Linked DNA regions of Drosophila melanogaster. Changing the gene in region 2 together with the main gene of any one other region gives a genetic interaction. Each region holds a gene or a part of one and is shown on either strand. Other genes may lie near its edges.

Region 1 (5,086 bases), on a different chromosome or scaffold from region 2:
TGTTGTTGCTGCTGCTGTTGGTGTTGCTGGTGTAGCTGTTGAAAGTAGGGCGGTGGTGGACCGTAATGTTGCTGCTGCTGCTGTTGATGTTGCTGATAGAGTTGCTGCTGCTGCTGCTGCTGCTGCTGTTGGTGTTGCTGCTGCGGCGAGGGCGTCGATATGGCAATTGTGGGCGCGGTTAGGAGCTCAATTTTGGAGGCTTTTCCTAGCTATCGCAGCTGACAATTTTGCGCGTATTGCCAACTTGAATTGTATTTTAACTTGCAGCACAAAGAACCACACGCGCGTTTTGCAACACTATTCGCTCGGAAATATTCACAAATGTTACATATAATTTTTTTTTAATTTTCGCTTCAGATTTACACTTGTTTTTTGCTTTTATTTATTTTGTTGTAAAAGAAACCACACTTTTTGCTTAATATATTTAATATTTATTTTACAGGCTTTGCTGAGATTTTTCACACACTTTTTGATCAAAAAAATTGAATTTGCTTCGTTTGGTTTGGTTGTCGTGGTTGGTTTGTTTTTTTTTTTTTTTTTACATAAATTTACACAAAATTATGAATAATATTTTACACAGTTGCACAGCTGTTGTTTTTGGGACTTAACAAAACTGAACTTTATTTATTTAATTACGTATGAGAATTGGTTAAAACTTGAATTTTTACAGATTTCTTGTTGAGAATTGTGGAATTTCCGTTTATTAATGTAGTTTATTAATTATAATTAGGATGAATTTTAATTTACACGACGTTTTAATGATGAAAATATACACAAACTGCAATGAGAAATTAAAGTGTAAACTGTGATTAGTAAACGCAGTAGTTTTTGGAAATAAATTGTTGAGAAATTATCGATTTCGAATCAAATAACTTTTTATATGATGCTAGTTTTTATTCCCAATTCAATACGACACTCGAACCACTGTACTTTTGTGCGATTAAAAACTTTGAGCTGGTCATGGTAAAGAAAAGATTCCGATAACACAGACAGCAGACAGGGCACATAATAATAATCAACAAAATAAAACGCACAAGGCACGCGTAAAAGCAAAACAATTTCTTCTAAAACTGAAAGACGACTAAGGCAAATATTAGCCATGATTTCCCCATTACGAAAACAATAACAAAGTAGATGCCGATAAGTGGTGAATTGCGGGGGGGGGGGGGGAGTGTGTGCGTTGCGTTTACGTTTGAGGAACAGGAGCCCCAAGAACAAGTCGCAGAAGCAGACTATCCATAGAAGAACAACGCAGCGCTGAATCATGCTCGAAAAATACGGAAAATATAATTTGGTTTCTTTGAAGACCGATTGGATTAATACTCTTAATAAATTACGATGCAGGCTAGTTTTATCAGTGACTATCAATACATAACTTTTCAGACTTTATCTATTCGTAAGTGCTTAGCAACCGTAACAAAAAGTTGGCACACGATAACAATGGCGTTTATGTTGCAGTTCCAAAAAGGTTTTAACGAAATTTTATAAATCACCATTAGGACCATTGCATTTCAACATTATGAAAATGATCTTTAGATCTGATTATTCAAATCCTGTTTTACTCTTTTAACATGAAATTCTATAATAGTTTGGGATTATAATAATATCCATTGTACAAAATATGGAATCCAATGAAAACAGAAACAAAATCCCTTTTTAAAATCTGGTTACATTGTAGATCGGCTTGTTTAACATCTAAGAATTTATACATATCTGGAAAACTTGTGAACAGAATTATTGTTATAGCGCCTCCCGCGGAAAGCACACGGAAAGACGTATAGCGGCTTGTTTAACATCTAAGAATTTATACATATCTGGAAAACTTGTGAACAGAATTATTGTTATAGCGCCTCCCGCGGAAAGCACACGGAAAGACGTATAGCGGGGGGTGGTGGGGCGGTCGAAAATGGAAAACATATAAAATTAACATACACACAGAGGAGCAAGAACAACAACAAGAACGATGCCGGCAGACGATGAGCGAATGCGACAGAACGAATGGCGAAGAAAACGAAACGAAGACGAAGGCGAAAGGCGGCCGCAAACATTTGAGGTTACGTTTTCAGCGAAAAGAATGCGAGTGGGTCGGTCTTTTATTTTATTATTTTTTTTTTTGTTTTTGGGTTGTTTACGAGAATTATATCTCCATTTCTCCCTTTCGGTCCTTTCGTGCCTCCCAAGAAGCCCCCCAAAAAAGGAGAGACAAGTGCAGCATGCGAAAAGGAAGAGAGAGAACGCGAATGCTGTGCCCCTGGAAGCTCGCACACACCCACACTTCTAGGGGAGGGGGGTATATATAAAAACAAACATAAAGATAAACCATAAAAGAGATGGCGGACAAAACAAAGGAGGTGCGGCCAATAAGTAATTAGGAATTAAAACCATTTGAATTGTTTAATATTTTAGTTGGTAGTTAGGCGTTCTTATTGGGAAAAGCACATATATACAATTGCAAGGCGTCCCGAGAGAGAGAAAGAGCGAGAGAGCACACACACACACGTAAGAGGGAGCTGAATGGTTTGGCGGGGGGACGCGGGGAGAAGGAAGAAGCAGAGCAGCCAAATGGCCACCGCTCAAAAGGAAGAACACGATGGTATAAGGAAATAATGAAACACACACATTCGCACACATACGCACAATCGGAAAAATTTGTTCACCAACCAAACAAAAAGAAAGGAATCATATAAATTATTCAGGCACACACTTAATTGATTTTTACCTTTTTCGGGCAAAATACGAATTAATTTCGCAAACTATTTATACATGTTTGCATATGTACAAAAAGCGGTCTGGAAATGCACACATACACTCATGCCGCCGAAATGGAAAAGGAAACCCGATGATGACAATGTAAAACGAAACAGGAGTACTTTACGGTTTTTAGCTGTTTTTTTTTGTTCATTTCCTTTTTTGAAACACTTACACATGCACTTAAAAAAGCCTTCTCGTTTGCATTTCCATTGATTTGATGGTGTGTGTGCTTTCGTTAAATACGAAATTTAGATTATTTAAATTACAATTATTTACACAGGATGATGAAGAAGAAATCGGCCAGGAATTTCTTCAACGTCGCCGCCGTCCGTCGCAGAACGATAATAAAAGCGAAATGCAAAGACACACTGGCCAAATACAACTACAACAAAGAGCTAGAGAGAGAGGAGAGAACAAGAACCCCCCAAAATGAGAGCAGTGTTGGCAAACGTGCGAAATCAACAGAGAGAACGAGTGAGCATGCCCACAGAGTGCGAGAGAGAGCAAGAGCGGGGGTGCGAGCGCAAAAGACCGACAATTTATTTTACTTTTATTAACATGCGCGCAAAATATTTATATAAATTGATTACACATTTTCTTGTTCTTTTATCATCACCCCCTTTTTTATATTCACCCTGGCAAATGAATTACGCTGCCCCAGCCAAATTGTTTATATATTATTTATCAATCGATTTTAGGGGCATGCCAAATTTGATCAGACGCCAGTCGCACACAAACACACACTTGAGCACACACATTCACAGACCAACACTCGCGCATACATACACACGCACCAGGGTGTTTGTTTTGTTTTTGTTTGCGGCTTTTTTTTTTATCAATTTGTGATCTTTTTTCGCAGCCGCAAATTTGATTGTGATTTACCGCCGATTGGAAATGTAAACAATGCTGTCGAACTATCAGCATAAGGCTGGCAGTTTTAAAATACTTTTCATATTTTATAGCTGTTGGGTACTCACACCTTAGCTTATTTGAAAAATTTACATATTACAAGCACGCCGTTCTAGGTCTGCTTCTTCTTACGCGCGAACATTTAGTGTGACCGCAGCTCGACCGTTCAAATATACCATTGCGAAGCGCACTGAGAAACACTCTCCAATAGTTCTAAGATACCAAAAATTTAGCATACTACTATATGTAAGTTATAATTTCATTTACTATCCCATTAGAGAAATTAATTGATTTTTATGTTCTATAATGCATTTAACTAGTTGCCCTAGTTTTAATGTTGTTAAAATAGCATTACAACAATTACCGTTTATAACTTCACTTTCTTCAGAGTGACCATATAATGTAAAGTACAGTGAACACTGTATATAAAGAATCAATACAACCATGGATTTACATATTTTTCCATCTGGTTTATATCAATAGATAATATATGTTAAATGATATATATAAAAACTAAATTACACAAAATTTTTTTAGGTATAGTAGGTTTATTTAAACTTGTATACGATTGAAATTTCTGCAATCAAATCAAATTTGTTGTTACAATAAAGTTCAGTTCTACTTCGGAACTTGAAATCTTCCCCAAATATGTTATTTATGTGTTATTTATTTGGTAATTTCAATCCAAGTTGAAATCGTTTTCCGAGCTATGTGTCGTCATTACAGTGCAGTGCAGTTGTAAACGGTTTGTCCGATTTCTCAGCAATAAATCGGAATATATATGTAGACAAAGTGTGTTGTTTTAGGAGGGGAAGGTTCTCTAAAGTCCAAGTAGGTCCTATCCATTTTTGTGTTTTCTTCTCTTACTTGCAGATTTTTTTTCGTTTTTTTTTTTTTGCTTTTACAACATTCTTTTTTTTTTGTGTTGATTTTTGGGGAGGGGTGTGTGGAAATGTTTATAAATTGTATGTTTTAGGCAGCTACCGATTCGGAATCGTTGTAGTTATCCGAAACATAACCGTCGTTGGCATCATTTTCGCCATCGGAGTTCCATTTGAGGCCATCTCCTTTGGTTGGTGTCCCATCCACGGCACGGTCCTCGTCGTTCGACTCCTTCTTGGAGTTGTGTTGGCCCTGATCGGCGGAATCAGCATCATCTGCATCGTCATCAATATTTTTCGCTGGGCGACTACGGGGCTTTGTTGTTTCCTCTTTGGACACCTTGCCAGCGGCAAGAGAGGGACGTCCACGTTTCTTCGGCGCCACTACCGTCTTCTCAGGCGAGCTGTGTTCCTCCTCCCCGGAGTTCTCATCGTCCTGATCGTCGTCATTGTCCTCGTGCTTCTCGACGGGTGCAGCATTGGCCTTTGGACGACCGCGCGGACGACCGGTGGGTACGTAGCCAGTACTGCCACCGCTACCCGAC
Region 2 (4,970 bases):
AGTAAGCATCATACAATACTTTTATTCTTAGAAGAATCGGTTTATATTTATCCCAGCGCTTCATGCTGCAAAGCTTTTTTAGCATTTCATCAGCCGAACGTTTCTGTTTTGTGCGAATGGATTGCATTTGCTTTTTGTTTGTTTTGGAATCGTTATGTTGACACTCCTTATCTAGTGAGTTATCATCGAAACGGTGTTTGGTTTCCCCTTCTTATACATAGGTGTTCACTTTGGGGGAATCATGTTGCGAGTTCAGCAATTGTCTCACATTCTGCGGTTTTTAAAGAATTTTTGTTGATAGTGGAACATGATTCATGGAAAAAGCGAAAAAGCTGATATAACTACCGGAAATGTAAGTGAAGTGGAGTGACATATTTCGAAATTGTTTCAAAAACTCAACAATTCTTTTTATGTAATTTTTGTTTGGTAAATTCTCTTCATCAATTTTGAAATCTCTAAAAATATTTAAGCAGCTGTTTTCGAACGTCAAAGATTTCAGATCTGTTTGACATTTACGTCATTAGAAAAAGGTTATAGCCTCCATGTGCATATGAACGGGGGAAACTGCTGATTAAATACAGCTCCCAATAGGTTTCTAAAAAGTCTCCTTATCAAAATTGAGACACGCGTCAAAAAAAAAAAAAAAAAAAAAAAATGAAATGGTAGTAACTATCTGTTGTTTTGTCCTATCTACAGAGATAAATGCAATTTTCCCTGTTGTTCAAGGTGTTTAAAATAATTACCCGCAATTGGAGAGTTTGCATGCGGTTGTTGCATAATGTCAATCCTGATAAAAAAAAACCCAAGCAAGCCGCCACAAAGGTCACATTATCGTTTTAGATAATGTGCGACGATACGAATATGAACTTCGTTTTATTGGACTGTATTTTTGGTAATTGTTTTCTTCGACACTTTATGTGGAACAGTGTTTATTGAGCTGCCGTTCAATGGTCCAATCGATTTAAGAAGGCAAAAATGGCAACATGATAACAGAAACGAACTCAGGTGTTACGGAAATTAGTTGCGTCTAAAAATAATTAGTTTCTGTCGGGTCAGTTGTGGCAAATGAAGGGAAGGAAGGCGGTCAAGTGTAATGTCTGCTTCTGGTGGAAAATTGCGCAAGTGGCACATGTGTGCAAATTAGCGAAGCCGATTGACAGCCAGAACAGTAAAAAGAAATAAAGATAGGTTTTTGAATAATAATATAATATATAATATATATATATATTTTGAATAAATATATAAGGTATAAACCTACTATATCTGAATGCCCGTTTCTATGATACAATTTCAATTCCACTTTAAAATCGTTGGCTTAAAATCCGTACTTAATATTCATAATCCCAAAATCGTAAGATATGTAAATCAGATTTATTCTTGGAATATGCCAAATGGCCCGAAGGCCGCCCACGCAATCAACATGTTGCACCCACGTGCGCCCCTCTCTTTCTGCCTAGCACCTTTCTCTTTTTCACTTTGTTTGACACTTGCCTCTCCCTTGGACTCCCAGCCTCTGACGTCACAGTTTTACTGCGTCTTTGACTTTAGCTTGTAAATTTCTGTTATGCTAATTACCAACAGCGACAATAGCAACAAAATCAATAACACAAACAGAAAACGAGCGCGTAAAGCGAGGAAATGGTTACATCGTAAAGATATGGCCAAAAACAGGCGCACCTCAGTCGGCAAAAGTGATGAGATACACATACAGTGCGAAATAATAATTGTCATAAATAGTATTAAACGTTCAATGCCAAAGATAGATAGATAGATCTAAGATTAACGAATTCAAAGTGTATAGAAGTTAGTTTACTTCATCAATAGATTTAAAAGCAACAGAGCGATTTCAAGCACAAGGTAGATTTTGGATGCACATTTCTCTCAGTGCACCCATCCCATTTTGGCCCGAGCTCCTTTCGGCCATGTCCTTGATGACTCAGTTCGAATCGGTCTAAAAGTGTGTGGGCGTGGGTGCAGCAGTTCAGTGTGGGTGGGGCAGTTGCATTGACGTGTGTGTGCAGACAGCTATGATAGTAATCCATTTTATTTTTTCTTTTATGCGTGCTCTGCTAACAGTTAATTTCGTTTTGTTTTTTATTATATTTGTTTCGCTGGCATCGGGCGAACTTTCCCTTGGCTAAGTGCTCAATTACAGGTAAATTACGTATTGAAATTTAGCAAGAAACGTGGAGCATCAGCAAGTCAAATTGGGGAGAAACCTATTCGCAGCCATTGAACTATAGCACATGTATAAAAGCACTAACATCAAACTGCAATGGAAAGCGCGGGCAACCGAGGAAATGTTTATATTCCATTCATGACTCAGGAAAAACGTATTCTTTATAAAATGCCCGAAAACAAATCATCCAAATATATCCACAAATATCCACATATCAGCCAAAAAAATGTAGAAAGCCGTAATGCAAATAACGGGACAGGTGCAACGTGTTCGTTTTACGTTGACGTCGAAAATGCACGCGTGTCCCGTTTTTTTTTTTTTGACTGTCGAATTTTTCGGTTTTTATGAAAAGGTTTCGGTTTTAATTGTCACTTCGGCTATTTATGGTTCGCTAAAGCCGTTTTTTTCTCCTGCTTTTTGTTTTTCGTCTGCTTTCGTGGTTCTCATCTACAACATGGCACATCATTCTATAATTCTATACTTCTATTTCGAATGTTTTTTTGAATACATAACACATGTCTGTTATAGCAGCAGTTGCACTATGCTATTTTCAGACAAACCCAATTTATTCTGTGTTTCTGCCATGTGCTTCAAGTGTTGCCCTCTTTTCGCTTCCCTTGTCTTAAATCCGGCGACTGTACAGTAGTTCAGAATTTATGCTTACTTAATTGCTCCTTCTTTCTCTGAAGTGCTGACGAATTGGTGAATGCCGCGCAAATCAAACACTCCTCCCGGTCAATCGCCTTTTAGGCGAATAAAAGTTGTAATAATGCCAACAGTTTGGGCAGTTAAAAAATCGGAGATATCTCCCGCGACACAAAAAGCCGTGCGGACTGCGCGAACACCAAACAGCAACTAAAATGAGAAACACAGTCCCTGCTTAAATATAAATACTGAGAGAGCGCAACAGTGCTGCCGACATTTATTTTACTTTATTTTATAAGGCAAGATGTAAAAATATTATATTTTAGAATACGTAATAAATTATAGGTATAGATTATGCCTTTAGGAAAATTATGATTTTTATTATAAATATTTATAAATATTTTTTTAACTACCTTAAGTAAAAAGACAACAAAATGCCACTTAAGGAATTTTTGTCAAAATGGCTACGATTATTAGAATATTTTTACTTCTTAATGAATTATTCTTAGTAAACACAAAAAAATTAGGTAAGGCAAGTACGTATCTGATTTTACAGCTTGATTTATGAAATTTTAAAATCCGATCTGGCTTTTTTCCCGCTAAAACAAACAGCTTGTAAATGCAGAGAAAGAGAAAAGCCGGGTAAGAGAAAAAAATAAATACGGCTGAAAGGACGACAAGGACAGCGACACGATGCGCTGAATTTGAGAAGAGCAAGCGAGATATGTATATTCCGCAAATCCTAAAGGGCAAGGGCCTTCTCCACTTTTTGGATGACGAAATCTAAGACCGGCTTTCATAAGCGTGGCAAACTCTATATACTTTTTAGACTTGCCGGAAATGCGAAACTTTAAAGTTGGAGCTGCGGGTAGAAGCGGTAAGATCCTTGCACGAAATTGATAAACAGCATTGCATCAGCAATTAGGTTTCGGTGTTGTTTAAGTTCTGGGAATCGAACAAGATAACCACAATATTTACGTATTTATCCAACTTTTTGCTCTCTCTCACGTTGTTCAATAATAATTTCCACCCGCTCAACAGCAGGTAAATACGTCCAAAGTTCTACAACTTTCTACTGATGAAATTCACTTTAACACGGAACCGGTATGTTTTTGCTAGTCATTTATCACTTATCAATTTATTTGCGATATGCGAATGAACCAATTACGTTGAGGAGAGCCAAATAAAGAAGATACAAATGATGTCAGGATGGGTTGGTAGGATTAAGATCTTATATTGTGTTGCTGATGTTTGCATGATGAAAGATATGTTAGTTAGTATGATGCTAGGAATTGAACTTCAATATAGTATTACTTAAAATCATTGCCACTACTTTTAAATAATCTTTATTATCAACAAACATTCATTTTTCTTGAAAGAATAATAATTTATTATAATCAGAATAAATGGTCACAAATCCAAAAAAGGAAAATAATAAATATAAATAGATAGCGGGGCGTTTAATACTTATATTTAACATAAACTCGCGTGCCGAATGGGGCTATAAATATTATTATAGATAGCATGGTGACCAAGTGAATAGATAAGCATAAATTTCCCACAATCTCAATTGAAATTATTTTTATTAACAATTTCCTGGGACATAAAATTAATTTGAATTGTTAGATTTTGGGCGCAAACTGTTAAGTCACAGAATAAAATTAGTTCAAGTATTAAATAAGAATAAGAAAACTTCAACAAATTTGTTAAAATGTACGTTTTTATTCAAAGAATCTTGCAAATATTTTGTTACGCTTCAATTATTTCGATTTCGCATAAATCATATGAAACCGCTTGAATTTCATTTTGATTATCTGCAAATTCCACTCATGATGGTATACATTTCCTTTGCAATAAAACCTATGCGATTTAAAATCTACAAATGTAAAATGGTCGGGCTAACATGAATACAATTTGAGCAAGAATTAGAAATAAGATGGGAATTGCACACGGTTATAGTACTTTATTTGTAGGTGAGTTGATTCGAATCGATTCGATTATATCTGATTTGACCTGATAGATGTGAATAATACGAGGATGTCTGGTCTGACTGTGTCTGTAGTTTCTATGCTTTGGCTAGTTTGGAACTGCCATTCAGTTACTATGGAGTTGAGCTTGAGCTATGGTTAGGTTAGCTGTAGATTCA

What was found.
Region 1: of path (region 2) and pum, changing one suppresses a phenotype caused by changing the other (phenotypic suppression), as found in Drosophila melanogaster (one study listed by BioGRID).

The regions. Positions count from the first base shown.
Region 1 is NT_033777.3:9,233,887-9,238,972, forward strand, and holds the start of pum (pumilio), read right to left. Parts: upstream 3,140-5,086; 5' UTR 2,924-3,139; intron 779-2,923; 5' UTR 1-778. Other genes in the region: D1 chromosomal protein, read right to left, coding at 4,633-5,086. UniProt on the Drosophila melanogaster protein: Sequence-specific RNA-binding protein that acts as a post-transcriptional repressor by binding the 3'-UTR of mRNA targets.
Region 2 is NT_037436.4:9,502,289-9,507,258, forward strand, and holds the start of path (pathetic), read right to left. Parts: upstream 3,041-4,970; 5' UTR 2,844-3,040; intron 1-2,843. UniProt on the Drosophila melanogaster protein: Amino acid transporter which has pH-dependent electrogenic transport activity for alanine and glycine but not for proline. Plays a role in positive regulation of growth by directly or indirectly modulating the effects of the TOR signaling pathway.